Linked DNA regions of Rhinolophus ferrumequinum. The protein of the gene in region 4 purifies or fractionates together with the protein of the main gene of each other region. This does not show direct contact. Links are inferred from orthologs where the notes say so. Each region holds a gene or a part of one and is shown on either strand. Other genes may lie near its edges. The genes, in order: CYTH2, CYTH1, CYTH3 and INAVA.

The links.
Region 1: the proteins of INAVA (region 4) and CYTH2 purify together in Homo sapiens (co-immunoprecipitation; 3 studies listed by BioGRID and IntAct, counting the BioPlex papers as one, with this or other methods). This does not show direct contact. The link is inferred for Rhinolophus ferrumequinum from reciprocal best matches to the Homo sapiens genes INAVA and CYTH2.
Region 2: the proteins of INAVA (region 4) and CYTH1 purify together in Homo sapiens (co-immunoprecipitation; 3 studies listed by BioGRID and IntAct, counting the BioPlex papers as one, with this or other methods). This does not show direct contact. The link is inferred for Rhinolophus ferrumequinum from reciprocal best matches to the Homo sapiens genes INAVA and CYTH1.
Region 3: the proteins of INAVA (region 4) and CYTH3 purify together in Homo sapiens (co-immunoprecipitation; 3 studies listed by BioGRID and IntAct, counting the BioPlex papers as one, with this or other methods). This does not show direct contact. The link is inferred for Rhinolophus ferrumequinum from reciprocal best matches to the Homo sapiens genes INAVA and CYTH3.

Annotation. Positions count from the first base shown.
Region 1 is NC_046298.1:44,010,037-44,017,699, forward strand, and holds the start of CYTH2 (cytohesin-2), read left to right. Parts: upstream 1-4,655; 5' UTR 4,656-4,856; coding exon 4,857-4,875; intron 4,876-5,704; coding exon 5,705-5,852; intron 5,853-5,949; coding exon 5,950-6,016; intron 6,017-7,035; coding exon 7,036-7,154; intron 7,155-7,663. Other genes in the region: KCNJ14 (ATP-sensitive inward rectifier potassium channel 14), read left to right, coding at 573-1,130. UniProt on the Homo sapiens protein: Acts as a guanine-nucleotide exchange factor (GEF). Promotes guanine-nucleotide exchange on ARF1, ARF3 and ARF6. Activates ARF factors through replacement of GDP with GTP.
Region 2 is NC_046304.1:52,556,567-52,564,248, forward strand, and holds the start of CYTH1 (cytohesin-1), read right to left. Parts: upstream 3,006-7,682; 5' UTR 2,840-3,005; coding exon 2,812-2,839; intron 1-2,811. UniProt on the Homo sapiens protein: Promotes guanine-nucleotide exchange on ARF1, ARF5 and ARF6. Promotes the activation of ARF factors through replacement of GDP with GTP.
Region 3 is NC_046307.1:41,044,497-41,051,585, reverse strand, and holds the start of CYTH3 (cytohesin-3), read left to right. Parts: upstream 1-4,088; 5' UTR 4,089-4,196; coding exon 4,197-4,233; intron 4,234-7,089. UniProt on the Homo sapiens protein: Promotes guanine-nucleotide exchange on ARF1 and ARF6. Promotes the activation of ARF factors through replacement of GDP with GTP. Plays a role in the epithelial polarization.
Region 4 is NC_046310.1:1,238,008-1,245,796, forward strand, and holds the start of INAVA (innate immunity activator protein), read right to left. Parts: upstream 3,016-7,789; 5' UTR 2,808-3,015; intron 306-2,807; 5' UTR 212-305; coding exon 157-211; intron 1-156. UniProt on the Homo sapiens protein: Expressed in peripheral macrophages and intestinal myeloid-derived cells, is required for optimal PRR (pattern recognition receptor)-induced signaling, cytokine secretion, and bacterial clearance.

The DNA.
Region 1 (7,663 bases), on a different chromosome or scaffold from region 4:
GGGCTTGTAGTTCAGTTGCAGGTGGGTGGTGTGCGAGGAGCCCAGGGGCTAGCCTGAAGCAGTGGTGGAACACAGGATGTGGGACCTAGAGTGTCTTCTTGGTTTATCTTTCTCTGGCGACATATTGAAAGCCATTTTTCTCTCCCTCTTCTCCTTCTCCAATTGCTGGTCGGATGTCATTCTTCTGTTTCTTTAACTTCGTTTCTGCCTTGCTCATTTCTGTGGCTCTATGCCAATGTCACTGTCCCTCTCTTCCTCTCTCCCGTCTTTCTCTTCCTTGGGTTTTATCCCTAAACCCTCTCTGAGTCTCTGTCCATTTCTGTTTATCTCTGGGTCTCGGTCCCTCTCTCTCTCTCTCTCTCTCTCTCTGGGTCTCTGTCCCCTCCCCCATGTCCTCCTCTCTTTCTGGGTCACCATCTTGCACTTCCCCAATTCTTATACTCACCCTACCCTTACCCCTGCCGATCCCTGCTCTCCTCTTTCTCTGCATCGCTATTCGTTTCTGTTACCTTCTCCGTCTGCTTTCATCTCCATGCTTCCTGCTGTCTTTGGACCCATGCCTTCGGCTACAGCCTCGAGTGACCCCGGAGGGTGAGTACATACCACTGGACCACCAGGACGTGGATGTGGGCTTTGATGGTGGCACTGATCGTATCTTCCTTGTGTCTCCCATTACCATCGTGCATGAGATTGATTCCTCCAGTCCTCTGTATGAACTTGGATGTGCCGAGCTGGCCCGGGCTGACTTTGAACTAGTGGTCATTCTGGAGGGCATGGTTGAGGCCACAGCTATGACCACACAGTGTCGTTCTTCCTATCTCCCTGGTGAGCTGCTCTGGGGCCATCGTTTTGAACCAGTCCTCTTCCAGCGTGGCTCCCAGTATGAGGTCGATTATCGCCACTTCCATCGCACTTATGAGGTCCCAGGGACACCGGTCTGTAGTGCCAAGGAGCTGGATGAACAGGCAGAGCGGGATTCCCACAGCCCCAAGTCTAACTTCCCCGGCTCTCTGGCTGCATTTTGTTATGAGAATGAACTTGCTCTGAGCTGCTGCCAGGAGGAAGAGGAGGAAGAGGAGGCCACGGAGGGGGATGAGATGAAGACAGAAGATGTGGCTGCCAGCCCCTGAGTACTCACACCAACGCTGGCGCTGCCCCTGCCCCCGTGATGTCAGCTGGTGTCCCCCCATTTGTACCCCCTTCCCAGAGGCAGCAAGATGGAGAGATCAGGTCCTCTCCTGGGGTGGGGGCAGGTGTTCTCCAAGACGGACAGGTCTGCTGGGTAAATGATTAGCTGGTGAAGTTCTGCCATGCCTAATGGACCCACTCGATCTTAATTCATCTACATTTTGTGCTCCCTCCTGAGACCCTTTTATCAGCCTGATTCCTGAGTCTCACCAGAGCTAAGGGATCCAGAACTCGGGACCATCTGAGAGGGAAGGGCTGGTGGTTCCAGATTATTCTATATGGCTGGCTTGGGTTGTTGAACAGGGTCAGGAATCCATGGTATAGACCACCTCTGGAGGAGGAAGTCAGCACTTCTAGAGCAGCAACAGAGAAAAAGTTTATAGGTCTGGATCGACCTATAGATTCAAGGGACTGTTACTTCTAGACTCAGCCAACTAAGTAGCAAATCATTTTTTCTAGACCACCTGAGGAGGGAAAGTTATGGAATGCCCCAAGAATTCAAGACTGTCTTGATTGACCAAAGACAAGGAATGTCTTGACCAAAGTCAAGAAAAGACCTGTGGTTCCAGAAAACCCATATTTTGAGATTCTGTGAATCTAGATTTACAGAGAGAAGAACTACTCCAGAAACTAAAGAGTAATATTTCTAGAATGCACAAAACAATGGAGAGTGTGAGTCTAGAAGAACTAAAGTGACAGATTGGGAGTTCTTGATAGTAGATATTTCCAGACCACTAGCTGTAGAACATCGAAGCAAGGGCATAATCAATGCTTCTAAATGATCCACAGGGTTTTTCTTTTAAGTGCCATTCTAGAATGTCCAAAGGAACCAAGATTCTGTGGCTCGAGATTGATCACAGAGTCAAGGAAGGAGTGGCGATTCTAGATGTCTGAGATTTACTGATTCCAGTTTGCCCAATGAAGTTGAGAATCCTAATGATTCTAGATGACTTATTTGTGGTTCTGTAATGCCAAAATGAACCAAGGCTCCAGGGATCCAGAGTTGTCCATTAGCAAAACCTGGAAGTTCTGATCAGCTCTTAGTTCTAGGAGGTGGACTCAGGACTTGATAGGTAGAATTTCTGGGCTGACTTAGAAGGTGAGGGCCCAGGCAAGACCCTGTAGGTAACAGGGCTAGTTATTGGGCAAGAGAAGGGAGAGGCCCAAAGCTGGCGAGTCTACAATGCTCTGGATTCTACACCTAGTGATGTATGTCTGTGTCTTAAAGATGTTATACATATGTGTATTATATATATTATAAATACTGATATCTATTTTTTTCCAAAGGTTCCTAAAGAAGGGTTAGAAATGGAGCTTGAGCTAATTCGAATGGAGTCCTTTACAGGATTGGGAAGCTTTGCTCTAAATCCCAACTCTGCCCCAATGTACTGGGTGACTTAGGGCAAATCACTCCCCTCTCCTCACCTCAGTTTCCCCATCTATTAAAATGGGGCATTGAAACTTCTCCAAGGAACTTTGGGGCATTAAAATGGGGCATTGAAACTTCTCCAAGGAACTTTCAACCAGGATGATTCCTCAATTCACTGAGGGTTGGGTGGGGGTGCGGGTCATAGAGATTTCCCAGCTCTCCCTGGTGCTAGAACACATAGTTTTCCGTGGGCAAGTGGTATCAGAGATGCTCTTGGAGGCCAGCTCTGAACTTGGATTTCAGAATGACAGGGCAGGCAAAGGGTAGTGAGGACTGTGGTTGTGGGCTGGAACCACCTCTTCCCTGGTCCAGCTTCGGGGGGCAGTAGAAGGAGGAGGTAGCTCTGAATGCCAGGGGAAAGTATGTGTTTAAGGGAAGACTTGTCCCCCAGATTAAAACACTGGGAGCCTTCGTGGTATGTCTGTGACTGCTGCTGGGGCATGGGTCCTTGGGCCTGGTCCCTGCCCGTGCTGCTATCTATCTCAGTGTCCAGCAGACTGGGAGCTAGCCACAGAAGGAGCCAGTGCTAGGGAGAAGGACACGTTCCCACCCGTGTCCCAGGGCTGAGAACGGGCACTTGCACATCAGTCTGCCCAAGTGCTGCACCAACCGAGGTCCCCCTTCTGGCTCCCTCATCTCCCTTTATCCCTCAGAATTGTCACACAATAACTGGATGGGATTGATTATCTGGCTGCTCTCCCAGCTCACGGTGTCTATCTGGGGTAGGGACTGGGGACAATAGAAACACAGGGATGGAGAAGGATGTTACGTTGGAGATAAAGGGACAGGAAAAAGGTTCTGTTTGGAAGGAAAGAGAGTAGGGTCAGGGATGGCACAGCCTGGGTTTCCACTGGAAGGGCAGGGCCTGGGCCACTCATAAAGGTCAGTAAGGGGATTAGGAGGCGCTGTGTCTAATCTGTCAGTTTAACCAGGTCCTGGCCCTGAATTTGTCCCCACCTGCCTAGCCCAGAGGCAGCGAACGAGGACGAGGCCCAGACACCACCTCAGACCCAATTACGGACCTGGGTGCCCAGGTTCTCCATCCAGGCCAAGATCCTGCACCTGCTTTGCCTGCGAGAAATGAGAATGAGAGGCTGGGAGGACTCAAATGCGGGAGAATTCTGAGAGGAGAAAGGCATTTAAAAAGAGCAAGAATGTGAGAGAAGGGGGAACCTGAATGAGGCGAGTTGGAAAGGAGTGAATGGACTCTTAGAAGGGGGAAGGAATCAGAGGTGGGAGGGTGCTGAGGAAAGTTGTCAGAGGGGGAGGATGCTAAAATAAGGGGAGGAGTTTGGGGGAGAGGGAAGAGCCTGAGAGTCAGCAGGTGCCAGGAAGGCGGAGCCTCTGCTTTCACTATATTTGGCCTTTCCCTATTGTCCCATTCTCCTTGACAGATACCAAATAGCGTAGCATTTAGAAGAAAGAATACGTCTTTGTTCCACCACTCGTTGACTTTGAAGAGGCTGAGGTGGATGGGGTCATAGGAGGGGTTAAGAAAAGGGACTGGAGATCGGAGGGGCCAGTTCCCGGAGGAAGGAGGATAAAAGAAAGGTGAGCTAACCAAAGCTGCTCCCGGTTGCGTGGCAACCGCTGCGGTCAAAAGCCAGCTTGGACTTCTAGGAGGTGTGGCTCACGAAAACATCCGACAGCTGTGGCCCCGCCCCCTAGCAACAAGGCTAACAAAGTACCGCCCCCCCCCCCCCCGAAACACACAACTAGAGGCGGGGCTCGGTTGAACTATAATAGTGTCCTTGTGCCCACAGCCCTTGGGCAGGCGCAGTCCTCTGTGCTCCCGCATAGTCCCACCTCCATGCAAATCCTTTCCGAGGTTTCTCATTGGCGAGCAATCCAGCCAAGTGACTTCTTTTGTTTCGGAGGCGGGGCCCGACGCACTGGCTGCACTCCGATTGGCATCGCAGGCCGTCTACCTCCGACCGGACATGGCTACGTCTGCTCCTTGTGCCCTTATTGGCCCTGGAGGATGGCCCTTCGGTACCGGGGGCGGAGCAGACGAGAGGGCCTGCAGTGGATTGGACGGTGTCGAAACGAGGGGCGGTCCCTACAGGCGGGGCGGTTGGTAGGCGAAGAGAGAGTCTTTTCAGCGCTGAGGACTGGCGCTGAGGAGGCGGCGGTGGCTCCCGGGGCGTTTGAGCGGGCTCACTCGAGCCCGCGGGCCAACGCGGATCCAGGCCCGACCGGCGGGACCGCCCCGGACTCCCCGCGGGCCTTCCTAGCCGCCATGGAGGACGGTGTCTATGGTAGGTCGGGGAGGGGTGGAGCTGGCACGAGCAGATGGAGTCTTTCGTCCCGAACGTTCCGGTGCGAACGTTCCCTTTGGCGCTCACCTCGCGGAGCCGTTCGGCCCCATCGTTGCCGCCTTGCTTTTATGGGGCTTGGGATGGGCTTCCGGCGAGACCCTAGAGCGGGGCGTTCCAGGCCATTGTTTGGGCCGATCCTGTTTCCGGTGGCGGCGGGAGGGGACGGGATGGAGCAGCGGAGGCGAGGCCGAGGCGGAACCTTCCCCGCCGGAGGGGCCGGGCGAGCCCAGTGCCTGCTGGGAGCAGGCAGGGGGACTTCTGGGGGCGGCGGAGTAGGGAAGAAATCTTGGGGGCTGCAGAGATCCGGCTAAGACGGAGGCCTTTGATGTCCCGCCCCCTTTCCCAACTCTTACGAGCTGTCATCAGCTTTCCTTGCCATAGTTAACTTTTCATGGAACAGGAGTCCGGACATCCAGGTCCCAGCTACCTTGCCAGTAATGGAAGCAGAACACCAAGGCCTCAACCCCTTTCCAAGTAATGGAACCAGCAGTTCAGGCTGCTAGCCCAGTCTCCCCCAGACCTAAGAGTTCAAGCTCCAGCCCCCTTCTCCCTCAGACTCAGGAGCCCGGACCCCGGGTCCCCGCCTCCCCCAGGACTCAAGAGGCCACCAGCCCCTTCTTCCATTAGACATAGGATGCTGGACCCTCATTTTCATCATCCCCACGAACCTAGGAGTCCTGTTCCCCCTTCCCGCACCCCTGTCATCCCCCAGATTGCAGGAATCCAGGCTCACAGTCCACAGAACTGACCTCCAACTCCTGACCCCTAGAACCCCCAGACCTTACGCCGGAGGAGCGGATGGAGTTGGAGAACATCCGGCGACGGAAGCAGGAGCTGCTGGTGGAGATCCAGCGCCTGCGGGAGGAGCTCAGCGAAGCCATGAGTGAGGTGGAGGGTCTGGAGGCCAATGAGGGCAGGTGAGGGCTGGGTAGCGAATTTGGGGGTCATGGGGCCAGGCCGGGGCCAGGGATGCCCAGGTATTGACCCTCCATCCCCCTGCTCTCTGCCCTGCAGCAAGACCTTGCAGCGGAACCGGAAAATGGCCATGGGCAGGAAGAAGTTCAACATGGATCCCAAGAAGGTGCCTGGGGGCCACAGGGCTGGGATCCGCCTAGCAGATATCTTGACGGAGGTTCTGGCACCTCCATGTTCCACAAGTGTGATGGTTAAAGGCCTACTTTAGGTGTACAGATTTGGTCCTAATCTCTGGATTTAGAAACTGGCTCTCCACTTATTCTCTGAATACTAACCAAATATTTCAGCCTCCTGACCTTGGCCTGTGCTGTGTTCTCTGGGAGATCCTCTTTCCTCTTTTTGCTCATATTCCTGGACCCACTTCCGGTGTCACCTAGAGTCCCAGGACGAGCTTATGTCTGGTGGGGAACATGGACAGTGACATACACAAAGGCAGGTTGACCACTGCCGTGATATGGAGGTACAAGAGCTGTGGACACTCAGAGGAGGGAGCCCAATGCAGTCATGGAGGGCTTCCCAGAGAAGGGGACGTTCAGATCTGGTGTGAAGGACGAGTTGGTGTTCACCAGATGGAGGAAAGATGTTTGTTGATTCAGTCTTTCTCTTTATACCCAGTTCCTGAGGCCTCCCTTGGGCCTGCCCCTCTGCTAGGCAATGCTGGGAGCCCAGAGAAGAGTTTGACCCTGCCCTCAGGGAGCCCCTAGACGTGGATACCACAATTCAGTGGTGTCCATTATAGAGCTATAATGGATGCCCTCATGGCATCAGGAGAGCCAGAGAAGGCCCTAGTCCAGTCTGAGGCTTGGTCCTCACAGCCCTTGACAGACTGCTGCCCGAAGCAATTGTAGTTTGTTCAATCATTCAACCAATATCCACTGAGCTCCTGTCCCTTGCGGACCCTGCTCTGGGTGCTGGAATTAACTAGGAAAAGGCAGAGGGAACAGTAGGTGCAAAGGTTATGAGGTGGGAGGGATGTTATTTAAAGACCTGTGAGAAGCCTGAAAATGACACCTGGCCCTGCCCTGTTGAGCGTGGGGGTGGGTTTGCGTGCTGTAGTTTCCGGGGAGGTAGTGGAAAGTGGCTTTCTGAGCACATCAGCACTGAGACCCAGACCCCACCCTCCAGGGGATCCAGTTCTTGGTGGAGAATGAACTTCTGCAGAACACACCTGAGGAGATCGCCCGCTTCCTGTACAAGGGCGAAGGCCTGAACAAGACAGCCATCGGGGACTACCTGGGGGAGAGGTGAGATCCCCACCCACTCCCCTGGACCTCTCCCTACAGCCCCCTACACCCAGCTCCTGCCCTCACACTGCCAGCTCGTCTCCTGAGAGGCCCTGATAGACCAGCCTTCTGACTGGACTGTGACAGAATGGACTGACACAGGGACCTGGGGGAGACTGGGACCGTCCATGAGCATTTGGGGGGCATGGAGCATTTCTGTGGACATTTGGGAAGTGTGGAGACGATCCGTTTACGTCTGGGACAGTGGAGAGCATCCGTAAGTGTCATGGGAACATGAGAACCATGTAGACAACTGGTGTGCACGGGAATTGTATGGACAGCTGGGAAGTATGGGAACTGTCAGTGGATGTCTAGGAAGTATGGGGACCCCGCGGACATCTGGGAGCATAAGGGCCATCTCTGGACGTCTGGGATGTATGGGGACCATCTAGAAGTCTAGGGTGCATAAGATTGCACATTAGGAATATATGGGGACCATCAGTGGATGTTGGGGAATTCGGGGACAATCT
Region 2 (7,682 bases), on a different chromosome or scaffold from region 4:
AACCGAAAATCAACACCCTCGTGCAGAGGCACTATACTTACTTCTGTTTGGAGATTTTTCCTATAAATGATACTTTATACTCACATGGTGACTTATAGCTTAAAATGTGTTATCATTTCCATTTTTATTTGAATGTGACAACAAAGTCCAACTATGAACTATGCCTATTTCCTGACAATAAACTATGCGCCGTGTAACCTCCCGTTTCCAGAGAAGACTCACGGAGTACGAAGCACCTACCGGGTCAGCCGCTAACGGAGCTTAGTACTAAGTCAGGATCCCCGGCTGAGGCCTCGGCTCTTTATTTCCTCTCACTGTTACAAGCAGGCTCCCGTCAGCTCAGCATTTACTGAGCATGTGCACAGGCCCAGCCTGTGCGTGGCGCTGGGATTTAAATAGCTCCAGCCCCTCCCTGAGTGGAACGTGAATGCCAGTGGAGGATGCACGTGAGCCCGTTGGGCACCACACACTGCCACCGCAGCCGCGCACGCCCAGTACTCAGGGACACCTGGGGACAGACGCCGAGAGGCTTCCGAGGGGCCGGGCCTCTGGGACAGGACTTGAGGACGAATGGATTGTCCAAACAGAGCAGCACAGACCAGTGTGGACCCACATGTCACACGAGACAGGGAGGCCAGGCGTGGCTGGGTGCCTGGGTCAGGTCAGGGCCCAGGACACGTGGGGACGGGGACAGCACTCAGAAGAGCCCAGAGAGTACTGTGAGGCCTCGTGTCCCACACAGCGAGGGGCTTGGACTCCACCCCACAGAGGAGGTTGAAAGGCAAATCAAGGGGAACTAAGCATCCCGAAGATAAGATTCAACAGCTAAAAGCGCACCTCCGGCAGTGACGACAGCTGTGCCTGATTCAGTCCCCTGGTCCATGCCCACCTAACATACCTGCGAAAGACGGCAACCGAAACTGATGAGCGAAAGCGCCAGTAAGGACAGAGGCAGAAAGCACTAACTGTCACTTAAGGGCTGGGGCTCTGACTTGGTGCATCAGGAGAGGACCTGACTTCTTTAAAGAAATCTTCAGAACCCCCCACTTCCCTTTACTGGGCATGCTCTTTGGGTTAAACATCTAGGAAAAGCAGCTCTCGTGCGCGTAAGGCTGACACCTAACTCTCCCTTCTCTCCCTCTCCTGGGACCTCGGGGAGCTGCCCAAGGAAAGTCCACAGCTCCCTTCATTGCACACGTGCCCGACGCTGTTTCTGCATCTCATCTCAACACCATGGGGCAGCGGCTTTAGCGGTGGTTAAAAAGGTAACGTGCCCCCCTAAGGTCCCGGGGGGGAGGGCTAGAGGAACGGAGAGAAGCGCTCATTTCTGGAGGCCCCTTCTTCAAAGCAAAGGTGCCCATTGATCTAACCCTAAACTCTGGTGTCTGAAGTCCCTGCCCTAAAATGGTGTCTCACACCCCCACCACTGAAACAAGTGCCACACGCTGAATGGCTAGTGTGGAATTTTAAAGCTCTCGGACGGTTAGAGGCTGATGACATCGTTCGTTAAACAACGCCCCCTCCGTGGGTCTACAGCCAGGCTTGTCTAGAGGACACGGTCACCAGCAGTCAGCATCTGCCCAGGCCAGTGGGTCACACCTAATGTCCTTTTTCACTCTCAAAAGTACCCGCTTTTGAACTAGAGACCTTCGAACTCGAGTCTACCGTAGACTGGCCTTTCGGATACAACACCTCCCCCACGGGCAGCTCAGCCTGACCTAGATCTGCCTCTCCTTACTGTCCCTCTTCAAATGCAGAACTGTCATTATAAACACCGATTTATGTCCCTCTCTCCTAAAGCCTTTCACGCACGGTACAGCTTTCCAAAGCAACCCACACACACGGCCCACGGTCATCTGCATGACTAGAGGTAAAACTTTAGAAGGTGTTTCATAGTGAACCGGGGAAGGAAAAGCATAAAAGGACTCCCAAACTTTATTACAACTTTTACAAAATCCACTTTGAAACACAGCCTAGTATTTACTTCAAACGTACTCATGTCATCCCCTACCAGGTACAAACCAGTAGCCATTTTGCCGTTGTGTCTTGTGCCATTAAAACACTGCCATGGGGTGAAGGCATCACATAAAATCCACACGTCCACACACAAACCTGTGACTCCAGAACGTTGTAAAGCCCTGACCTGTGCTTTGAGACACTCCTGAAGACTCTTTTGGGATTCATAAGCCACAAAATTTGTCATCCTTTTACTCATAGCGTCACTGTCTACAGTGTGGGTGTGGAGGAGATGAAGGAAGTTCAAAAGAGGAAGATGGGAGCTATCTGCAGGCTCCCTTCGTTACACTGTATCTAACACAAGCAGATACTATTTACCCTGAAGCTCTCTGGTGTGCTTTCCACCAGGTCTCTAACATCTTTTCTTTTTAGTGTGACGCTCACTGTGGACATACATGCAACTCCCAGAGCTTCTGACCAACTTACTCAGATGCAGGAAGCATAGGCTGGAGCACCAAGCCAGAGCGCCCGCTCCCTGCCCTCAGCCAAGCAGCACCCAGGGCAAAGATGGGGGCGGAGATTCTTTGGCTTAAAAACACACCAAGTGTGTGTGTCTCTGTCTCTCTCTCTCTCTCTCTCTCTCACACACACACACACACACACACACACACACTCCTGAGCCTCTGAACACTAAATCGCCCTCCACCTTCCTCCGGAAAACAGGAAGACACAAAGCAGAGTCTGGGTTGCCACTTGTCCCAGAGGGCAGTGGAACTGTCGTCACAGGACTTCACACACTGATCAACAGAGATACTTAAACCCCACTCCACACACCCACGGCGAGACCGGACTCACCGCTCTCCTCCTCGGTTTTAAGGACCATCTTTCTCCGTCACAGCAGAACCCCAAAGGTGGCTCGGTTTTGCTCTTCAAAGGAGAACTCCGCCAAGTTTTCCTGGGAGGTAGGGCTGGGCAGGCCAGGAATACCTGAGGGCTGCCCCGCCAGGACAGCTCAGAGCTGCTTCCTGAACCCCGGGGCTGGCCGGCTGCCCTCCTGGGCCAATCAGCCTCCAGCCGCAGAAGCAGCGTCACCCGTCCACTGCCACCGCCCAGTTCCTGAGGTGAAGCCCAAGCGGCTTCCTCCTTGCCGTCTCCTCCCTCGTCCTCCCTACCAGCAGTCTTGGGCTGGACGCCAAGGAGTCTAAGAGCTGCCCTGCTGCTCTTTCCTCAGATTCAACCAAAGCCATGGGTTCCCCTCTTCCTTTCCCAAGTGCTTTCTTAGCACACAATCACTGAAAACCCCTGGGCCTCGCACAATAAGATAACATTTCCCAAGGGAAAGACTAAGATCGTAATCAGACGGTATGTTATGAGGTCACAGGCTGAAAGCAGAAGGCAGACTTGAGAGACAAAAACAAAAAATCCAAGAGCAACACTCTCCGAAGAAGTTCAATTTTACCACCATTCTATTTTCTCCCGGGCCCCACCAAGCTGTTCTTCTCTGCACACTCATTACATTCACGATACGTTTGTTGTTGAAATTAGATAACAGTAATGAGGAAAGCAAAACCAAAAACCTTAATCCTATCACCAGGGACACCCACTGATGACATTTTGGTATATATTCTTTATATTCTTCCAGACTTTTGTTCTATGTTCTACACACACATGTATCTATCTATATATGTACCTCCTGTATCTCTCCTATATAATACATATTACATATATTTCTCTCGCGATATATTTATATTATTTCAAGATAAGCATATAGATAAGTATACATACACATAAATATATATACATATACATAGACAGAAAGAACTAGATCTTTTATATGCTCTCTCTTAACCAGCTATTTTTACTCGTAACAAACATTTTCCATGACTGTAAAATGGACACCGATCGTACTTTTATTATTCACGATATGGACAGAATATGTAGCCATCCCCCTACTGTGAGACGTCCCGGAGGCTGCCGGATTCTGTGCCAACCTCTCACCCAGGTACTTCTTGGCACGTGCCTGTCACCACCTCTTCAGCAACGTCCCCAGCGGGATCCAGACACAGCCTCCCACCTGCTCGTGGGTGAGACTGAGGGGTCGGCACCTCAGCCAGTCACACGTACAGGTGACAGCAGCTGGGGTATCGTCGTGTGGCAACACTCCTGGGTGCTCCCTTTGCACCAGCCTGACAAGGCCGGGCTCCTCTAACCCTGAGAGCACCTCATGAGGCAAGTGCTATCTCCAGCGCCCGTGCCCAGATGAGGACACTGAGACGTACAGACGTCCCACAGCTTGCCCAAAGTCCCAAACCTGGCACTGACCCCGTCTGACTGCAGGGCCCACCCCCTGGTGGGGTGCAAACTCCTGCAGCAGGCTGGGGGTAGGGGGTGACCGTGCCGTCCTGGACAGGGTCCTAGTGGGGCAGAAACACCATCCACAGCGACACACCAGAGCGCAGCCTCCAGTCACATCTGAAGGTGGCCACAGGTGCCTCGAGGGCAGGACCTTGGCCACCCTTTTCCTTCTTGTCTAATAATAAATAAATATGTACATCTACATTTGTAAAAAGCACTGTTTTGTAGAGGCAACTAACATAAATCCGAAAGTCCATGTTGCAGTTACGCTTTCTCCCTCCCACCCCATCTGCAGTAAACCCCGGGATTGCCCGGCTCTGCTCCTTTTCAAGCCAAAGCTTAAAGCTTCCCTGCCGGCACCAGGGCTGATCTCCGCTGCTGCTGGTCCCCATTTGAAGAAGACAGGTCCCTTCCATCTTCTACTTACTGTCAAGTGGAAGAGCGTTTCTCCGGAACAGACGCCCTCGGGCAGAACTGCTGGCCCGGGAGGCCCGGTGCTCAGAGCTTTCCCAGATCCGGCCCAAGGCTCCCCGAGACCCCCAAAGGACACCCCTCATTTCTGCCCGTCTATGAGTGAAAATGGCTTCACAGTTGTTCAGTTTGCAGCGATCTGTGACTGAGATGCTGATATATTTTCCTAAACGTGAGGTATTTCCTCTTTTGTGAAATGCTTGATCATGTCCTTTGCCAATTTTCCGATCAGTTATCTTTTCTTACCGATTTGTGGGTCACTAACGTACATGTTGTAAATATTTCTCCCACACTCTTGTCACTTGCTTTTAGCATCAGTTGTGGTTATCTTCTGTCTTAGAGAAGAGTTCCTGTTGCAGTCAAATCTCTAATCTCATCCTCATTCGTTTCACTCAACACCTGCGTGCTGTGCGGCGTCCTGGACACACATCAGAGAAGTAGGCCTGCCCTGGCGGGGAGCTGGGGGGTGAGGGCAGGAAACAAACAAGAAGTAACGCCACGTGGAGCTGCGCGCGTGGGGGTGGGGGCGGCCAGGGTGGCTGGAGCCGAGACACAGGAGGGGAGGGCTGCCCGGGCCTTGGAGGCGATTTTAAGGACTCTGGTGTCCACTGGGGGTGAGGCGGGTAGCGGCTGCCAGGGTTCGGAATGAAGTGGAAGACCTGACTTCCTTTGTAAAGATACCACTTCGGCTGCGGGGGAAGAACAGACAGGGCAGACACAGGGAGACCGGCTGGGATGGTGGTGGCTTCCGCAGGAAGGGGTCAAACTCTCGCTCTGCCTACTTCGAAGGCAGGACCGAGGACTTGCCACACATGGGGTGTGAAGGCCGGGACAGGAGGAGGACGGGGCCTCCCAGCTCACGCAGCCGCCGGCCCCCATCACTCAGGCCACTCCCGGCCCCTCCGCTCTCTCCTCCGGGCTGCGGGCTGTGTGACTTCCCGCTCTGCTCCACTACTCACGCTGCATTCTTGCGAGGCCGCCCAGTTCACGTTCTCAAAAGAGGGACTAAATGGCTCACAGGGCCATCATCCCAGTTTGGGCACAGGGGGGCACCTCACAGACCCCAGGCCAGCCTGCAGGACAGGTTCAGTGCCAGCACCCATGAGCTGCTGGCAGAAAGGCTGCCACTTAGGCCTTAAAACTGGGAGCACGGCGGGCACTCCTGGGCCAACTCCACCCTGTCTTCTGTGTGATTTCTGTTGCTCCACAGTTAGTACAACACATAACACTGTTTGTTAAAAAGGAAGTAATGAACGAGTAACGTCTTCAATTCCTTAAAATAGAAATTTAACTACTGAAGCACCCAATTATATGTTTGACTCACTCATCAGGAAAGTGACTGCGTAACTTACCCATATGAGGACATTTCTGAGATTGAAAACTATTCAGAATGACATCAGCCAACAGGCATTAAGGGGGGCAGCCCTGGCATCACCTACCCCCTGCTGGGCACAGCACCGGTGGGAAGGACGGTGGGGCAGTTATCCAAAGGGGGGCTGTGCCCAAGTTCAAAGCACTTTGAAGAACAAGGAACAAGAGCTACAGAAGCAGAGCAGGTCCCCAGGCTGCAGAGCAGCAGCGGAGTCACGAGGCAGGAGGCAAGGGGACTGGCCCAGGCCTTGTCATCAGCACCAGACAGCTCAACAAAGCGGAAGAACACACCCGATAGCTGTTCATGTTGAAAATCACACGAGGCCGTTTGCATGCAGGGGTTTTCACCCAAGACACTTTTTATTTTCAATTAATGAAACACCTTAAATAAGCCTTGATCCTTTACTCCAGCCTCACCCCCTCTGGTGGAGGATAAGCTGAGAGCATGCGAGCAAGTAATGGTTTGAAATGACACAAGAACACTTCCATGAATATTCATGCAATATTCTAGGGAAAGGTTTTTCTCATCAGTCATAATGCCAAGGACACACAGCTGCACTCAAAGCGGGAGTCATGTCTGTCTGTAAACGTGAGGGCAGAGTTTGGGGAGACCAACAGGAGTGACGGAGCCCCCAGGGCCAGCGAGAGGGAGCAGCTTTATCAGTGCCAGGCCTGCAGGACGAGGTGGCTGCAGGGAGAGGCCACTGGTGGGAAGTCTGGTAGGGAGGGGACTGAGGACACAGCACATCCAGGGCGGCCTCCAGCAGAGGGCAGGAGGGACACGGGCAGAGATGGAGGGCACACTACAACACCCGATGCCGGAAGCCACTCCTGAAGAACTCAATGGCCCCTTCATCTGCCCGAGTCTATGCTTCTCATCACCGTTTCAAGACCTTCCTTAACCTGACCCTGCGGTCTCTCCAGGCTCATTCCTCACCACTCGTGCCTGGTGTTTTTCTTTAAGCAAAACAACACGCACACACCATATAAAAGCAAGCATTACGTAAGGCTTAAAACAGAAACCACCGTTTCCTGCCCAACTCTACCCCTCGCCCTCGAATCCTGTTCCGTAGAGGAAGCTCTTTCAGCTATTTCTTCTGCTAATTATTTCAGCATTTCTAAATAACAGGCTCACACCATCCATTCTTGAGTTTTCAGTTCTGCCATTACCCCCAACACGCACGTGCGCGCAGCCACTCAGTGTAGCTACATGTACATTTCTGGTTACATCAGGAGTTAGTGTTTCGTAAATATTGCTCACAGCGTAGCCATACCATGCGCTGTGATTAAAATGACCACAGAGGTGTTAAGTGTCTTCTTTTTTGTTTGCTTACTTCTCTTACTGATTAATCGCCAAGCTCTCCCCAAGGCGTAAAACTGCCACCATGGTCAGAACGCCGTGGATCTGTTTGCGGGACGGCCATCCATGGACTGTACCCTCACCCCCTCGCCTGAGCCTGCTTCCAACATCGTCCTGAGACGTTCCCCAGCCGCTGCCCAAAACTGGGTCCTGTTTCTGTGGTTCTGTG
Region 3 (7,089 bases), on a different chromosome or scaffold from region 4:
CGTGACTCTAAGAAGCCAGTTTTTTAGAAGCCTGGTGAGGTATGAAGTTTGGGATAATTCGTAAGCAGATGGTACAAAGCATGGCAAGGTACGTTCCAGAAGACAAACCTGGGAAAAAAGACAGCAGCTAGAAGGTGGCAGGGAAAGTGGGAGCCCTTACTGAGATTCAGCTTTGCCTCATGGATTCCGTCTGGCTTGACAATGAGGGATTGGAGAAACTGTGCATTTCTATGCGTAACAGTGATGAGCATTGATTGACTGAGCGCTTACCGTGTGCCATGCTCTGTTTGCGTATGGTAACGTCTAGTTCTAGTTCTCAGAGCAACTGAGTTGTTGTAGGTTCCATTTCAGGTACAGAAACGAGGGCACAGAGTGGTGAGGTAACTTTCCCAAGGTCACACAGTCAAGACAAGGAAGTGCCTGGGCTGTCTGACTTGACAGCCTGCATTATCCAGTTACCAGAGGTGACACGCGATGATGTAACCTAGTGACTTTCCTGGGCATTATGTGGCCTCTTTTCAAAGGCAACGAATGACCTGAACTCATGGCTGGCTTTCGCTGTCCTACAAGTCAAATTGCAGCATCACATTTGCTCGGACACACAGCGCTCTGCGACGGGTGTTGTGCGGTCGCTTGGTTGCTGGCTGGGAGCACACTTTCTATTTAGAGAACCATGATCACAGACAGATGTTCTGTGTCCTTATGTTTGTCATTTTCACCCTTTTTCTTTCTTTCACCCGAATTGCCTGTCCTATGGTACGTTCTGCACCCCAAGATGGATTTTCCTGATGACTTTAAGCGGCACACTGCAGACTCAGGCCAACTTCTGAAGGGGATGTTTTTAAATGAAAAAAAAACAAGTTTTTTTTTTTTAGGTCAGGGAACATGCTATAAAAATGAAGAACTAGATAAAAACAACACAGCTTTTTATTACAATAGAAGACGCCGTGTGTATAATAACTCTTAATGTTGATGCTGCCTCGAGTGGGTATAATGTTTTTCTCCCGAAGGCAAATAGCTCGAAATGGTGGCTAACTTATTTTTTCCAAGTTTACCACAAATAAGAAATTTGACCATGTTTGTTCTTGCAAAAATGCAAGTTACTAATCAATCTAAAAGGCAGGAAGCTGCCCTTGGTAACGTGAGGCCCGAGAACTGTTGTCGATCGTGTGGCTTCCAGGCTGGAGAACAAGGCCAAGGCTCACTGCATGGACGTATTGGAAAGGGAACGGCAACGCTGGGAAGGACGTGATGCCTGGGCTTTTGAAAATTTAATGAGGATGTGACTTGACACTCGGACCCCTGTCGTTTGCTTGGGCAGAGTGGAGAACGCTGATCTGTACAAGATCACCTCTATACCAATGAGATGTTTTCTGTCCTAGATGAAATGAGATTTCAGAAAACATTGCCTTCCTTTTTAGGACTGTGAGCTGGCTGCTGTGTATGCCTTCCCTGGACTAGACCAGACCCCCAAGCAGATGTAACGGATTAGTCGAGGTTCCCATCTGTTAACGGTCACTGCTATCTCTGCATTTCTTGACCGCTGTCAGAGGGGATGGGAACTGCCCTGCGCAGGGTCTGGAAGCAGCCGGAGCTCAGGCAGCCTCGGCAGCCTCTTCCTGGCTGAGCTTGAAGAAACCAGTTTTGGCAGGTTTTGGCTGTTGTGTCGTTAGTGCTGGGAGAGGACACGTCTGTCTGATTTCACACTTTCACTTGGAGAATGGAGATGAGGGTAAAAAGGAGAAATCCTCTGACCTTTCCAGTATGTGCACATTCTTGATTTTTTAAAACTATTTCTGCAATGGTCAAAGGGCTGATAAATGAGTTTTAACATGTTTTTAAGATGTCTCCTGCCCTATTCATCCAGCAGTAGTAACAAATAAATACAGTAGCTTTCTCCCCTTTTATGACACCGCTAAGCCCTGCAGTGGATCCTGGAGACAGAATAAATACAGACTACAGTCTGGGTCTGAAGGAGTTTCAGGTGGCAAAGCCACTACAAGGAAACAGCAAATACTGTGAGAAAGGCTATAAATAGGGTTGGGCTCAAAATTTCCATTAAATAATTGTTTGTGTAATTATCTACTTAATGGCTGTATTCCTTCTAGGGCGTACGTCCCTTAAGGAGAGGGACTGACTCTATCTTTTTCATCATCATATTCCCAGCTCCTGGGATAGTGCTTGGTCTACATGTTTATTGTCTGACTGAATGATGGTAACAAGGTTTTGGATTTAACACTTGTTGTCTCGGGGTGATGTCTGCTGCATGAATCGTTTTCCTTACATTCAGTGATAAAGCTTTCAACATCTGAGTCGCCCACACATAAGCTGGACATAAAGTGAGTGCCTATCTTAGCGGATAACTAGGATTCTTAATGTTCCTATATGTAGGGGCAACCTGCCTGTGGGCAGATTAGATAACTATGCTGGTGGGATTTAAGAGATACAGCAAAACCGCTCTTTTTTTAAAGAAATCTAATTTTTCCATTAGATATGAATTCCTTTGAGTAGTGAAAGTTTTGAAATCTTCCAATTTCCCCATTCAAGTGCAGAAATGACACCCAAAGCCCGTATTCTCCCAACAGTTTTGCAGGCTTTGTCGAAAAGAATAAGCTGTGAGGATAACATAATATTCTGCTTACAAATAACTGGGCAACTGGGCTATGCTTTATTCTGATGGAAATTAGCTTAGATGGAGATCAGAGAAGCAATTTTCAGATTTAAACTTTGAGAGAAGCTCCTATGGATCACACTCTACGAAAACTAAAGAATTAGGAATTGACATCTAAAAGCATTTATAATTGATAATATCTTTGAGTTCAAAGCTCCACATACCACATTATCAAGTTCCAAGTATGTTGTCATTTTTCCTGGTAACTGATGTTATCTCCAAGATAACCAAGCGGACGGGAACAGGATCAGGAAGCCAAGTCTTAAATCTACATTCCATGATGCCCAGACCCCTTTTCAGTTGCATATTTGTCACATAAGCTGCCAAACATTTTATTTGCACCCAGAAGTGTGCTCGGTGGCTTGAGAAGTACCCGAATGCTGGGTGTTTAATTCTTGAGATTACTAGGAGATTGAATTCTTTGGAATCATCTCACAACCTTGAACAAAAAGGTGAAAATTGTCCATTTTGATAAATGACAGAACAGGTTCCTTCCCCTCAATGGGCCATTTGTAAATATAAAACAGTTGCTGGAAAATTATATTAGAGATGAATTATCTCCTCCATTACAATGTTTCCTTTTCTTTAATGCAATTTAGTTGAAGCAAAATGAACAGAAAGGCTCGGGAGGGGCCACATTCGATGCTTTGGGAGGAGTTACTGGAAGCAAGATGGGGAGAGAGAAAGGTGATTCATAGAAGATCTGGAGCAGGAGCAAGTGGAGGCCTTCTGCCCAAGAGGCGTGCGCTGAGGACCCTGGCTGTGCCCACAGGAAATTGAATTCAGAGCTCCTTCTGCATCATAATCCAGGGCAGCTGGCGGCTTCCCAAGGGAGACTGGAGCGAAACTGCAAGGGCATCTGAGGCCACACTGGCCAATCTCTGCAGAGCCCGCTGAGGGTGGGGCCCCAAGTGTGCCGGATTGGGACCTCATGATGACGTCCATTTACAAGCCTTACACTTTGTTAATTTTAAAGTGCACTCATCGCTAGGAAAGGAGCGCCTCCATTATACACCAGAAAGCTGAAGGGTTGGAATTACTCTGTAATCTCTCAGGGCCGAAGAGGGAAGGCCTGACTTTGGAAGACGTGCGCGTCTTGATCTTTTTTTCTGAGTGCACGTGCGAGGAGGATCCCTCGCCGCTGAGTTTTGTGGGGTGGACATTCCCGTGTTCCGACCCCACAGCCGTCCCCAAGCTGCTCAGAAGCGGGGGCCGGGCAGGTGTCCACGCTCGGCTGGCCGGGGAGGGTCGGCGGTCTCAGCCTGGCGGGGTAGGCTCCGCCGGGTCAGGGCGGGGCCTGAGCGCGCGGCCCCGCCCACCGCGGTCCGGGGCGGGGCCTGAGCGTCACGTGACGGCGGCGCCGAGCGCGAGCGCCCCGCCCGGCCGGAGGAGGCCCGGGCGGCGACCCGGCCCGCGCGCTGCCGGAGCCGTCCGACCGCCCGCGCGCTCGGCACTCGCGGCGCCCTCCGCCCGCGGCCCCTCGCCCGCGGGTCTCGGGCTCGCCGGCAGCGGGAGCGGCCTCAAGATGGACGAAGACGGCGGCGGCGGCGAGGGCGGCGGCGGTGAGTGTGGGAGGTGTGGCCGGCCGGGCTGGCGGCCTGGGGCGGAGGAGGGCGGTCGGGGTCTGGGGTCGGGGTCCGCCTGAGGAGACCGGGTCCGCGCAGCGCTGGTGCCCGCTGACGACCGCCGAGGCCCGCAGCGTGCAGGGCCCGGAGACCGAGGCGGGGGTCCGGGCGCCGTGGGGAGGAGGCGGGCGGCGCTGCCGCCGAGCCCGAGCGAGGGTCCGGGGCGAGGCCGGCGGCCCGTCGGCTGGGGCCGCTCGGGGCCTGGAGCCGGGGCTCGGGGTCCCTCTCCTGGGGCGGGGCACCTCGGGGGCGACCTGCCCCGCCTCCTGTCGCCGCGGGCGGCTGTGCCCTCCGGAGCCCGACCGCAGGGGGACGAGCCTCGCAGCGTCTTTTCTCGGGTGGTGGGAAGTGAGCGAACCCCCGGGAACCAGGGAGGGGAAAGTTTTGAATCGGGGATCCTCGGGGTCCGAGAGAGGCGGGTGGGGGAAGCGGGCGGAGAGGCGTGACAGTTTTGCTGGCGTGAGGTCAGAAGCGGTCAGCGAGGTCCTTGGGCGAGGAGGGCCAGCCAGCGCGCCCGTTCCGTGAACTAGGACACGTTCCCGACTCAGCAGAAAATAAGCCTCGCTCGGAGAGGACACCCGAGACCCAGCTGTCGGCCCGACGCTCCGGTCCCTGTCGCCGGGAGACTCGCACTGGCGGTCAGTTACTTAGTGGGATGCACAGTGCTTTTGTGTCACGCCGCGAATTCTGACTTTCAAACAGAATAACGTGTCTGTGTGTATGGAGTGGGTCGTGTGTGGAAAGCAAAGGGTTAACACCCCTAGTTTTACTGCAACACCCGAAGTGGAGGTTCTCCCTACTTTGACGACCTCCTTTCTGCTGACGGACCGAGTCATCCCCACCCCTGGTAATAAGGGAGCGTTCTGAAAAAAAATCTTAATTACAGGCTGCGGGAGCCGCTGCCGCATTCTGCACGCTCCGGATCAAGTCCTCGGTGAATCAAGGTGCCTCGTAGCATTTAAGTGCTGCTCACGGGGAGTGTTTGTGCCCCAAGAAGCGACGCGGCTGTGATGGTGGGAAGTTGGCAGCAGGGGTGGCATTTGGCGACTTCAGTTCTCATAGTGAAAGGGAGGGGTCGCCCTGTGGCTCGAGTGGGTGTGGTGTTTGTGAAAGAAAGTGCTGTGGAAAGAAGGAGCCCAGTTGCAAACCCTCCCACAAGCCAGGCTGGCTGTCTGGAGACGAAGTCCTGGACTCTAAATGCCTTGCTTCCTGCGTCTCCCAATTTGGGTACCAACAGGCAGAGCAGTTTTTCCTTTTTAGAAAATAAAGACACAGACCTGTAATAGTTAAGCGTTTGCCATTTACAGTCAAGGTAGCCAGCTGGTTTGGCGATTTTGTCTGGAAGGTGTTTCTGAGTTAAGGACTATAGAAAGCTTGAAGGTAAAAGTAGGTTTAAAGATTAAGAAAAGGAAGCCAGTGTGCCTCAGCAGTTTATAGGTCTTGAGGACTATAACAAAGGATGGTATTAAGTATCAAAGTCTTTAGACTTTCTTTGGGCTCTTAATATCTCCTCTGGGAATACAGCCTTCAAGTTCAAAAAAAAATATATCATGCGTGAAGATGTGCATTACCCTGTAATAGTAGAAAATTGGAAACAGCAGTGCTTAGTAGGAGATTGGTGAGGTAAATTATGGGAAGCTTATTGGACGAATTGTTTTATGACCATTACAAATAAGCAGTTTTGGGCCGGCCCGGTGGCTCAGGTGGTTGGAGCTCCATGCTCCTAACTCCAAAGGCTGCTGGTTCGAGTCCCACATGGGCCAGTGGGCTCTCAGCCACAAGGTTGCCAGTTCAATTCCTCGAGTCCTGCAAGGGATGGTGGGCTGTGCCCCCTGCAACTTGCAACGGCAACTGGACCTGGAGCTGAGCTGTGCCCTCCACAACTAAGACTGAAAGGACAACAACTTGAAGCTGAATGGCACCCTCCACAACTAAGATTGAAAGGACAACAACTTGACTTGAAAAACAGGCCTGGAAGTACACACTGTTCCCCAATAAAGTCCTGTTCCCCTTCCCCAATAAAATCTTTAAAAAAAAAATAAGCAGTTGTATACATCATGGTCTAAACAATGAAAAAACTGGTGATACCATGTTTCCCCGAAAATAAGACCTAACCAGAAAATAAGCCCCAGCATGATTTTTTCAGGATGACAGCCCCTGAACATAAGCAAGAATATAAGACCCGGTCTTATTTTCGGGGAAACATGATACTGTGGATGTTTTATTTTCTTAGTTTTTATATTTTCCAAGTTTCTGGAATGAGGTGTATTACTTCCACTTTTGAACAAAAAAAGTATTAAAATTTTACTCTGCAGTAGGAAAGGAGAATGATTGTTGTAATGTATGATTTAATTCACTTCACTGGAACAGTCAATGATGACGGATGTTGATCGATTGTCTGTCTACTACGACCCCAGGCAGCATGCTAGGTGCTGGAAAACGGTGTCAAACCTTTACTGATATGGTTTATTAAGATCTTTCTTTCTTGCATTATGGAAGACACTTAAAAATATGTTTGGCAATCTTAGAATGAGTATATTTTTGAAACAGTGAAAATCTTAAAACTTTGAAATAAGAATCATTATTCATTGATTATTGTATAAATTTGGTGTGCTTATATTTGGAGATTTTGAAGTTAACTTACCTCTTTACAGTTCTTTAGTTATTACTACTATTTATATTTCTAAACAATGCTTTGCTTTAAAATTCACGTTTTTAAAAATAAAGTTCGGCCCTTGGGAAGAGAATAATTTCAGTTGCCAGTCATTTGTCAGCCAATTGTAAAACATAATT
Region 4 (7,789 bases):
AATGGCCGGGACGGAGAGCTCTCCGGCCCTCCCCATGTTTGCCCCCAGCAGAGGCCTCGCCCAGCTTCCCACCCCCCTCCAGTCCTGCAGCATCTCAGCCTGGCCAGCCCGGGGGCACCTGGGACTCAGAGAGCCGGGCCTTCCTGAGCCACTCACCAGACTGCAGGATTATGCCACTGTCGCTGTCGCTGACCTCATCCTTACTCTCCATGGTGGACTTCTGGGAGGAGGCTGCACAGCGCAGGGAGGGATGACACCGTTCCCAGCCTGAGCCACGACGTGTGGGCGGCCTGGAATTTCCCCAACTTTTAAGAGACCGAAAAAGCTACGTGTAAACCCCCTTGGTCCCAAACAGAGCTTAGCAATCATGCTGGAGGGCACAGGGCATGGAGGTGAGGACAGTGCTCCCTTGGGTGAGCACACATGGGGGTTCTCAGCAATGGGGGTGCGCAGAGAGAAGGCTCTGTGGGCCCCACCACCATACCTCCTCCCCGGGGGCTTGCTGGGCCCACCACAGCCCCCCACTGCCTCCTACCCAGAGAGACACGTAGGCCCAAGTGGTTCAAGAGTGGAGGTGGCCCCAGGAACTACTGACCCTGGGGAGAAGGTCAATAATGAGAAGAACAAAAGGAAGGGGACAAGAAGAAAGGGTGGGGGAAAGGAAAGCAGGAAGGGGACAATGTCCCCAGGAGGCATGCCAGTCCCTATAGGGCCACTGTTCTCAGCCAGAGGACCCGGCGGGCCCATCCTGCTGCCCGAGTCGCTGGTCTCTGGGCATTCAGCCAAGGCCCTGGGCTGGTGCCCCAAAGCCCAAGCTGCCCGGCTCTCTGGACCAGGATATTCATCCGAAGGCAGATGCCAGACAGCTAGCTGTCCCAAAGCCTGAACCAACTCCTACGACACCAGCCATGACCAGGAGATCCCTTGAGGGGGAGTCGGCCTAATCAACCTGGACCCCTTGGACCCACAGACAGAGGAGCCTCGGGGGGGTGTGTCAGGGTTGCTGGGGGTGGAGGGAGGGTGACAAGAGCAGAAGCTGCCTTCCTGGGGCTTGGGGACACTGGGGTGGCACGGCACAGTACCAGCATCACCAAAACAGCACCTGCTGCGTGTCCCCTCTCATGAGCCCACACCCCTGGTCGGCCCAGCTGGCTGGGCTGGGCAGCTGTGGTTGCAGTGCTGCAGGGGTGGGGAGGGCGGGCGGAGCCGGGCGGGCGTCTGGAAGGAGCCCAGCCACCTCCTCACTGAGTCAGCCCATTAAGCAACAGTCCAGTCCTCGCAGAGTTTCTGTCTAGAGCTTATCCTGCCTCCGGAGGGCAGGGGCCACGGAGCAATGGGGGTGCGCAGGAGAGAAACACGGGCCTTGGGAGAGCAGACACAAAGCAAGACACAGAGAGGAAGCCCCCTCCCCCCAGAAGCACCTCTGCCATTGGAGACAGAAAGCGCAGAACAAGTGCAGAACAAGCGAGCGGCTTTCCAGACCTCCGTAAACACCACCGCCCGTCAACGTGCACAGGCAGAAACAGCTGAGAACCTCAGGAACCTGCACTTGGGCAGTTCAGCTCCAATGAAGCCTCGAGAGTGGGTGGCAGGATTGAACAAGAAAGTTTATGTGTGGCCTTTGCAAACCTGTCTAAGAGACTGGCCGTATGTTCTGGGACCATCGTAGGGGAGTCACCCTGGCCAGTCTGTCCGTCCCTCCCAGGAGATGAGAGCCGGCAGTCACTCTCCTCCTACCCCGCGGCCTCTGACCCTCCCCAGGCCAGGCCAGGCCCAGCCCCAGAGCCGGGCGGAAGCCAGTTTCAGCCAGCTGGGGCCTGGGACGGCAGGGGTAATGTGTGAGGGGAGCCATTAACTAGCCACACTTGCTAATTAATTATTAACTTCGGAAGGGATCTCCGTGGGAAGTTGTGCCCCCAGTTCAGGGACTGACATGGGGGGCTGAGCAGACACCCCTTAGCGGCCTCCTCTCCCCCAGCCCCTCCCCCCAAGTCAGCTGGGTCTGGGGGGGGGGAGGCACTGCCCTCAGGGGTCCCAATCTGGCGCAGTGCCCACCAGGGGCGCACTTCCTGCTCCAAGCACAGGCCTTGAAGTCGGGAACCCCAGATTGGAGTCTGTTATCTGGGCAAGTCACCCCACCTGACTGGGCCCCGTTTCTCCACAGGCACAATGGATATGAGCCAGTGGCTAAGGCCCGTCCAGCCCCCGGCCTGAACGCAGACCTCTGGGACCCTGTCAGACACACCATTCCCTCCTCTGGCCCTGCTGGTACCTTCCGCACAGTGGGGACTGGTCCAGTGGGGACCAGTCCCGAGCCCACCTTCACCCAGGGGGGCACGGGGCTCCAGCCAAGGTGTCTCAGGCCCTGCTTTTAGGCAAAGGCAGTTTGGGGAATGTCCACTCCCTCCCCACAGAAAAACCTCTGCCCTCCAGGACCTCAGATCCAGTCCTGGGCCCTAAGACGCAGTCTGTCCGCCTGACTGAACAACGTCCCCAGGAAAAGGCAGAGGAGGAAGAAGGGGAGTGAAGGGGGGAATGGAAACTCCGTGCACCCTCCCTCAGGGCTCCTCTTGTCAATCACTAATGTGCCCCGCAGCCCGGGTCCTCATCCCTGCTTCTCCCTCCTCCTGGGGAAACTGAGGCCTCACCACTACAAGGCCAGGCTCCGCATCCGGTCCCACCAGCACCCCAGCGCCCCTGGGCCCTAGACGGGAAGGGGAGGTGGTGCTGGCCAGCGCCTGAGCCACTCCCGGGCCAGCCTGCCCCTCGGCCCCAAGGACCTGTTCCTCCAGCTGCCCTTCCCTCACCTGCTGTGCGTGAGTCCGGGGAAACAGCCCCAGTTCCCAGGTCAGGGGGCCGACGGGCGTCGCATGTCCCTTGGGGTCTCCCAGGCCACAGGGCGAGCTCCTGGCACTCTCTCTCTGACCTGCTCCCACTCCGCACACACTGGTCTGCCAGCACTTGGCCTGCCTCCCTCCCAGGCTGCTGGGCCCGGGGAACCTGGTTGCTTGTTATGACTTGAGTCAGAGGGAGGAGCAGGTGAGCTAGTCCCTCCCTGAATAAACCTGCGTGGCTGCCACAGGGCGTCTGCACTTCCGGGCAGCAGAGGAGCAGGGGGAAGGGGCCCCCCTGGGAGCAACGCGGGCGTTCACAGGGGTCCCGTCTTCATGGCCTCTGGGGCACTGGTGCAAAGGGCTGAGGTGGGGGGCTCCCGTGCCCTCCTGCCCTGACCCTGGCTCCCTCAGATGGCATTGTCCTGTACCTCAGTTTCCTTTTCCAGAAATCCGGGCACACAGCCCCCCCAAAGCAGATGGAAGGGCTACAGCCATGGGGTGGGGGGTGAGAGGGGGGAGGCGGGTACCAGCAAGAAACTTATAAAGTGACGAGGCCAGGTCCTTGCTCTTCCCATACACAGAAACGGACACCAAGCCTGAGTTCTGTCTCTCCCAAGTCAGCTTAGAAGCCTCAGGAAGGCAGTGACCCCGGAACTCCATGTGGGGAGGCTCTGGGGCCCCGAAGCAGGCCCAGCTGCTTTTTATCCCCAACGCCTCCCCCCAGGACCATCAAGACCATCACTTCCCTGTTATTATCGACATCCTTCAGCAGGGTCCACGGGGACCCGAAGCCCAGTCCTGTCCCCTCCTCCCCAGGAGGGCCACTGTCACCCCAGGCTCTAAGCCCATTCCTCAAACTCCAAAATGGAACTTGTTTCCCACAAAAAAATAAGCTTCCAGCTCCACCCCCTCATTGCCCCTCAAGCAAACACTGTTGGAATTCAGCCTGTTTTACTGGGGAAGCAAAGGGCTCAGGCCACCTGTTGCCTGTCCCCATCGAGCTGGAAAACAGAAAGGCTGCGGATTAAGGACTGTCCCCCACAAGACTTTACCCCACCACCTCCGTTTCCCCCACTCTGTTCCTCCCGCCACAACCCCCCTCCCTGGGATCCCAGCACAGCCTAGGCCCGCACTGCTTCCCTCCCCCACCCCCAGAGTCGGGATGAAGAAGTCAGCTCCACCAAGGACCTCCAGTGGAGCAGAGCTGGGTCACCCACCGAGCTCCCCTTGCTCCCTCCCCTTCCCCAGCACCCCCCTACACACACCCAGCTCCCCTTCGCATTCCTGCACACACCCTCTTTCCAAACAATGGAGGCCTCCAGGCTGACCACCTCCTTCCCTCCCCAGGCTGAGGCTGAGGGGCCCCTCCAGGGGACAGCCCCTCCAGGGGACAGCCCCTTGGATGGACAGGAGCCAGCTCTTGGTCAAGAGCCTGCAGCCCTCCCCTCCCCCCATCTAGGAAAAACAACAGGCGCCCCCACCCCCCACAGGTTTGTCACATTCTTCCAACGTCAAACGAGGCACCTAATTGACACCCTCCCTCTACCTCGCCCATCCCCCAGCTCCAGGTGGGGGAGGATGGGAATTTCTGGGATCAGCTCACAGCATATGTTTTGATGCATAAAATAAAATGAAGAGAATTACTGAGAACCAATTATATTGAAACACAGTTCTCAAAACAAACAAACCAAAAAAAAAACAACAGTGATGTATGTGCACCTTCACTGACATTTACACAGGATCTATCAGTGGGGAATGTCGCAGAAGTGATGAGTGGACAATATTTCAAGGCAGCTACGACTGCAATGTGACATGAAACTGCGAATTCTATTAATGGCAAAGTCACAGGTGCTGCCCAGAGCTTCTCGCCTTGTCACCGAGGGCAAAGCTGAATCTCTGCTAAAGGTGGTAGAAAAGAAAGATGTGGGGTTTTCCCCATGGAAGTTCATGAACCCTCGGAATTCTCTCCAGATGCTTTGGTGCCCAGGACCCAGTTAAGAACCCCGCCTTCCGGGAACCCCCCCTCTGCAATCAGAGGCCCCCTTGCTCCCTCAAATTCACAGGCAGTGTTTCCCAATGCAGCAGAATCTGGGGTTTGGAGTGCGACTGGCAAATCCACTCTCCAAGACCCCAGGCCCACTGGATCTGGCTGTGCCGCGCCATTCAACTCAAAACACCAAGGGAAGATGGGCATTCCAGGGAACTTGGGGTTCCATGTCCCCACTACCAGCCAGTCTAGGTCAGGGGGCTGATGGATGCCCCAAACCGCAGACCACCAGCTGGGGAGGACGTGGATTTTCCTCGCGTCACATTAGAGTACTTAGAATCTGATCTGTGATCGGAGAAAAACCACCTCTCTTTAGGGTGGTCAGTTCCTAAGGAAAAGTCCTGAATCAGAAAAGTCTTCCACACCCCGTCTCCCTCCACTCCCCAATATTGTGTGAAGTTCCTTCTGATCCGTGATTGGAAGTTCTTTTAAAGCCAGGGCCTCTCCTACGTCTCCACTTCCCCACCCGCACCCCGCAACGTCCAGTCTCAGGCGCCCTGGAATTCCACCGAATGAATTAACAATCAGTGGTCTGCGCTAGGCCAGCCGCGCAAAAAGCAAGAGGGGAGTGGGCCGGGGACCCTCCAGGCGAAGGGGGTGGGAGGTGCTTCTTCAACCGTGTTCTTCCTCCACTCTCCTCCCTCCCCACTGGGAGAGGTGTTCGCCTCCAGCAAGCGGTGATGGCGTGGCTGGGACGGGGAACCCCAGCTGGCCCGGAAGGCGGCCTGAAACCAGACCTCTGGCTTTCCTTAAAAGCCCCTTTGTGCGGTCCACCCTCTCCCCTCCCCCACTGCGCCCTCCGCATCCAAGCGGCCGGGACTTTGCTCCTTTTGTTTGGCTGCTTTCTGGCTTCCCGGAACCTGGCCGGCGGGGGGGTCCACAGCACGGGGAGGGTCCAAGGAGAAAGGTGGAGGCGGTGGAAATAGGCATTTGGGGTAGGAACTCAGAATTCCCACCCTCTTGGCGAATTCCCCCATTCCTTGTAGGGGCCCCTCCGCTAAGGCCGAGGACCGTGGGTTCAGGGACCGATCCCCCGCTCACCCGGCCGCGGCCCCCGTTTCCCTCTTACCTGTCCCTCGGAGCTGCGGCGCCGCGCGCCCGCGCCCGCGCGCCCGGGTCCGACCCCGCAGCCGCAGGACCCGCGTGTCCAGGCCGCCGTCCCTCCCCCCGGCCCGCCCTCCCCGGAGGTATTCCATTTAACTTCGGCATTTGCAGCATCCCAAATGTTAAAGATCCCAAGACATCTGTCCCCCGGGGCGTACCAAGGCGCGGAGGAGGGGGGAAGCCGCACGAGGGGCTTCAGGATTCCCACCCCAGAGTCGGGCGGGGCCGCGTGCGGGGCGGGAAGGTGCCATCGTGGGTGGGTGGCCTGCGGGGGCACCGGCTTTAGGGGCGAGGCCGTTCCCCTCCGCCCGATTTCGGGCGCCCGCGTGCTGGACCCCCCCGGCGCGGCCGGTTCCCGCGGCCCTGGCGGGAGGAGGCTCCTCTGCGTTCGCGCGCCGCCTTCATCCGCGCGCTCCGGCCGGGTATGGCGGGGCAGCTCCATTCCCGAGACCCAGCGGTGCGAGAGGCGGCGGGGGCGCCGCGCCCCTGCCAGCTCTCGTGCGCCCTGGGAGCCGGCATTGCCTCCCCTCCTGCGCCCCAGCCCAGCCCTCCTCCTCCGGTGCTGCTGGCCGAGCTCAGGACGGAAAAGCCAAGGAGCTCCACCCTTCATTCATTCATTCATTCACTTCACGTCCCTGTTCTCATTCGCTCAAAACAACAGTGTGCCCAGAGCTGATGGTCGGAATGCAGGTTCCTTCCCCGGAGGACACCACCACCACCACCATCACCACCACCACCATCACTACCACCATCACCACCGCCATCACCACCATCACCACCACCATCACCATCACCACCTCCATCGCCACCACCACCACCGCCACCACCACACACCTAGACTGTTATCAAGCCGCAGCAGTGTCCGTGAGGTCAGGCCCAGGCCCCAGGCGCAGAGAGGGACCGCCAAGCCTGGCCGCAGGAGGCAGTGCCAGGGTAATTTGGAAGGTGTGAGGAACCTAAGGCAGCAGTGTCAGGATGCACAAAAGCTGAAAGACAAAGGGGCTCAGTAGGTCCTAGGAGCTGTGGGGACATTCGGGTGTGGGACAAGCAAGAGGGAAGGGAATGGAAGATGGGAGAGAGACAAGGCTAGTGGGCAAGCACGGCCCCCTGGGGTTGTCCAGGTTGTGCACTGTGCAAAGAGAAAAGGCTCACACACACTCCACGTGCCAAGCCCGGACCGGGGCCAGAGCTAAATCTGCCTAGAGGTGGTGGCTTTTTCTCATTTGTACGAAGGCACAATGAGCTAAGCTGGCTGACAACCCATGTGGGCTGGCTAAAGATTTAAGATTTTTATCCTGAAATTGAAGAGAAGATAGTTGCATCACTCAGGGTTCTCCAAAGAAACAGAAAAAAAGAAAAGAATATATACTGGGAGTGCCAAAAACTGTATACTTGTATTCATCTTTTGTTACCGGTATATATGGAGTATCACAATTTTAATACAATTTTTTCCTTTCTTAAAATGTGTATGCATTTTGGGGGCACCCTCTGTATATTTGAGAAAGCTGACAAGTCCAAAGCCTGCAGGGAAGGCTGACCAGCTGGGGACCTAGGGGAGAGCTGCAGTGGGGCCCAAAGGCACTCAGCCTGCAGAAGCTCCTCTTCATCAGAAGAGGTCAATCAGCCTCTTTCACGGTCAGCTGACTGGATGAGGCCCACCCCCATTACAGGATGGAACCTGCTTCACTCAGTCTACCGTTCCTTTAAATGTTAATGTCATTTAAAATATACCTTCACAGAAACATCTAGAAGAATGTTTGACCAACTGTCTGGGTACCATGGACTCAGCCGAGCTGACACAACA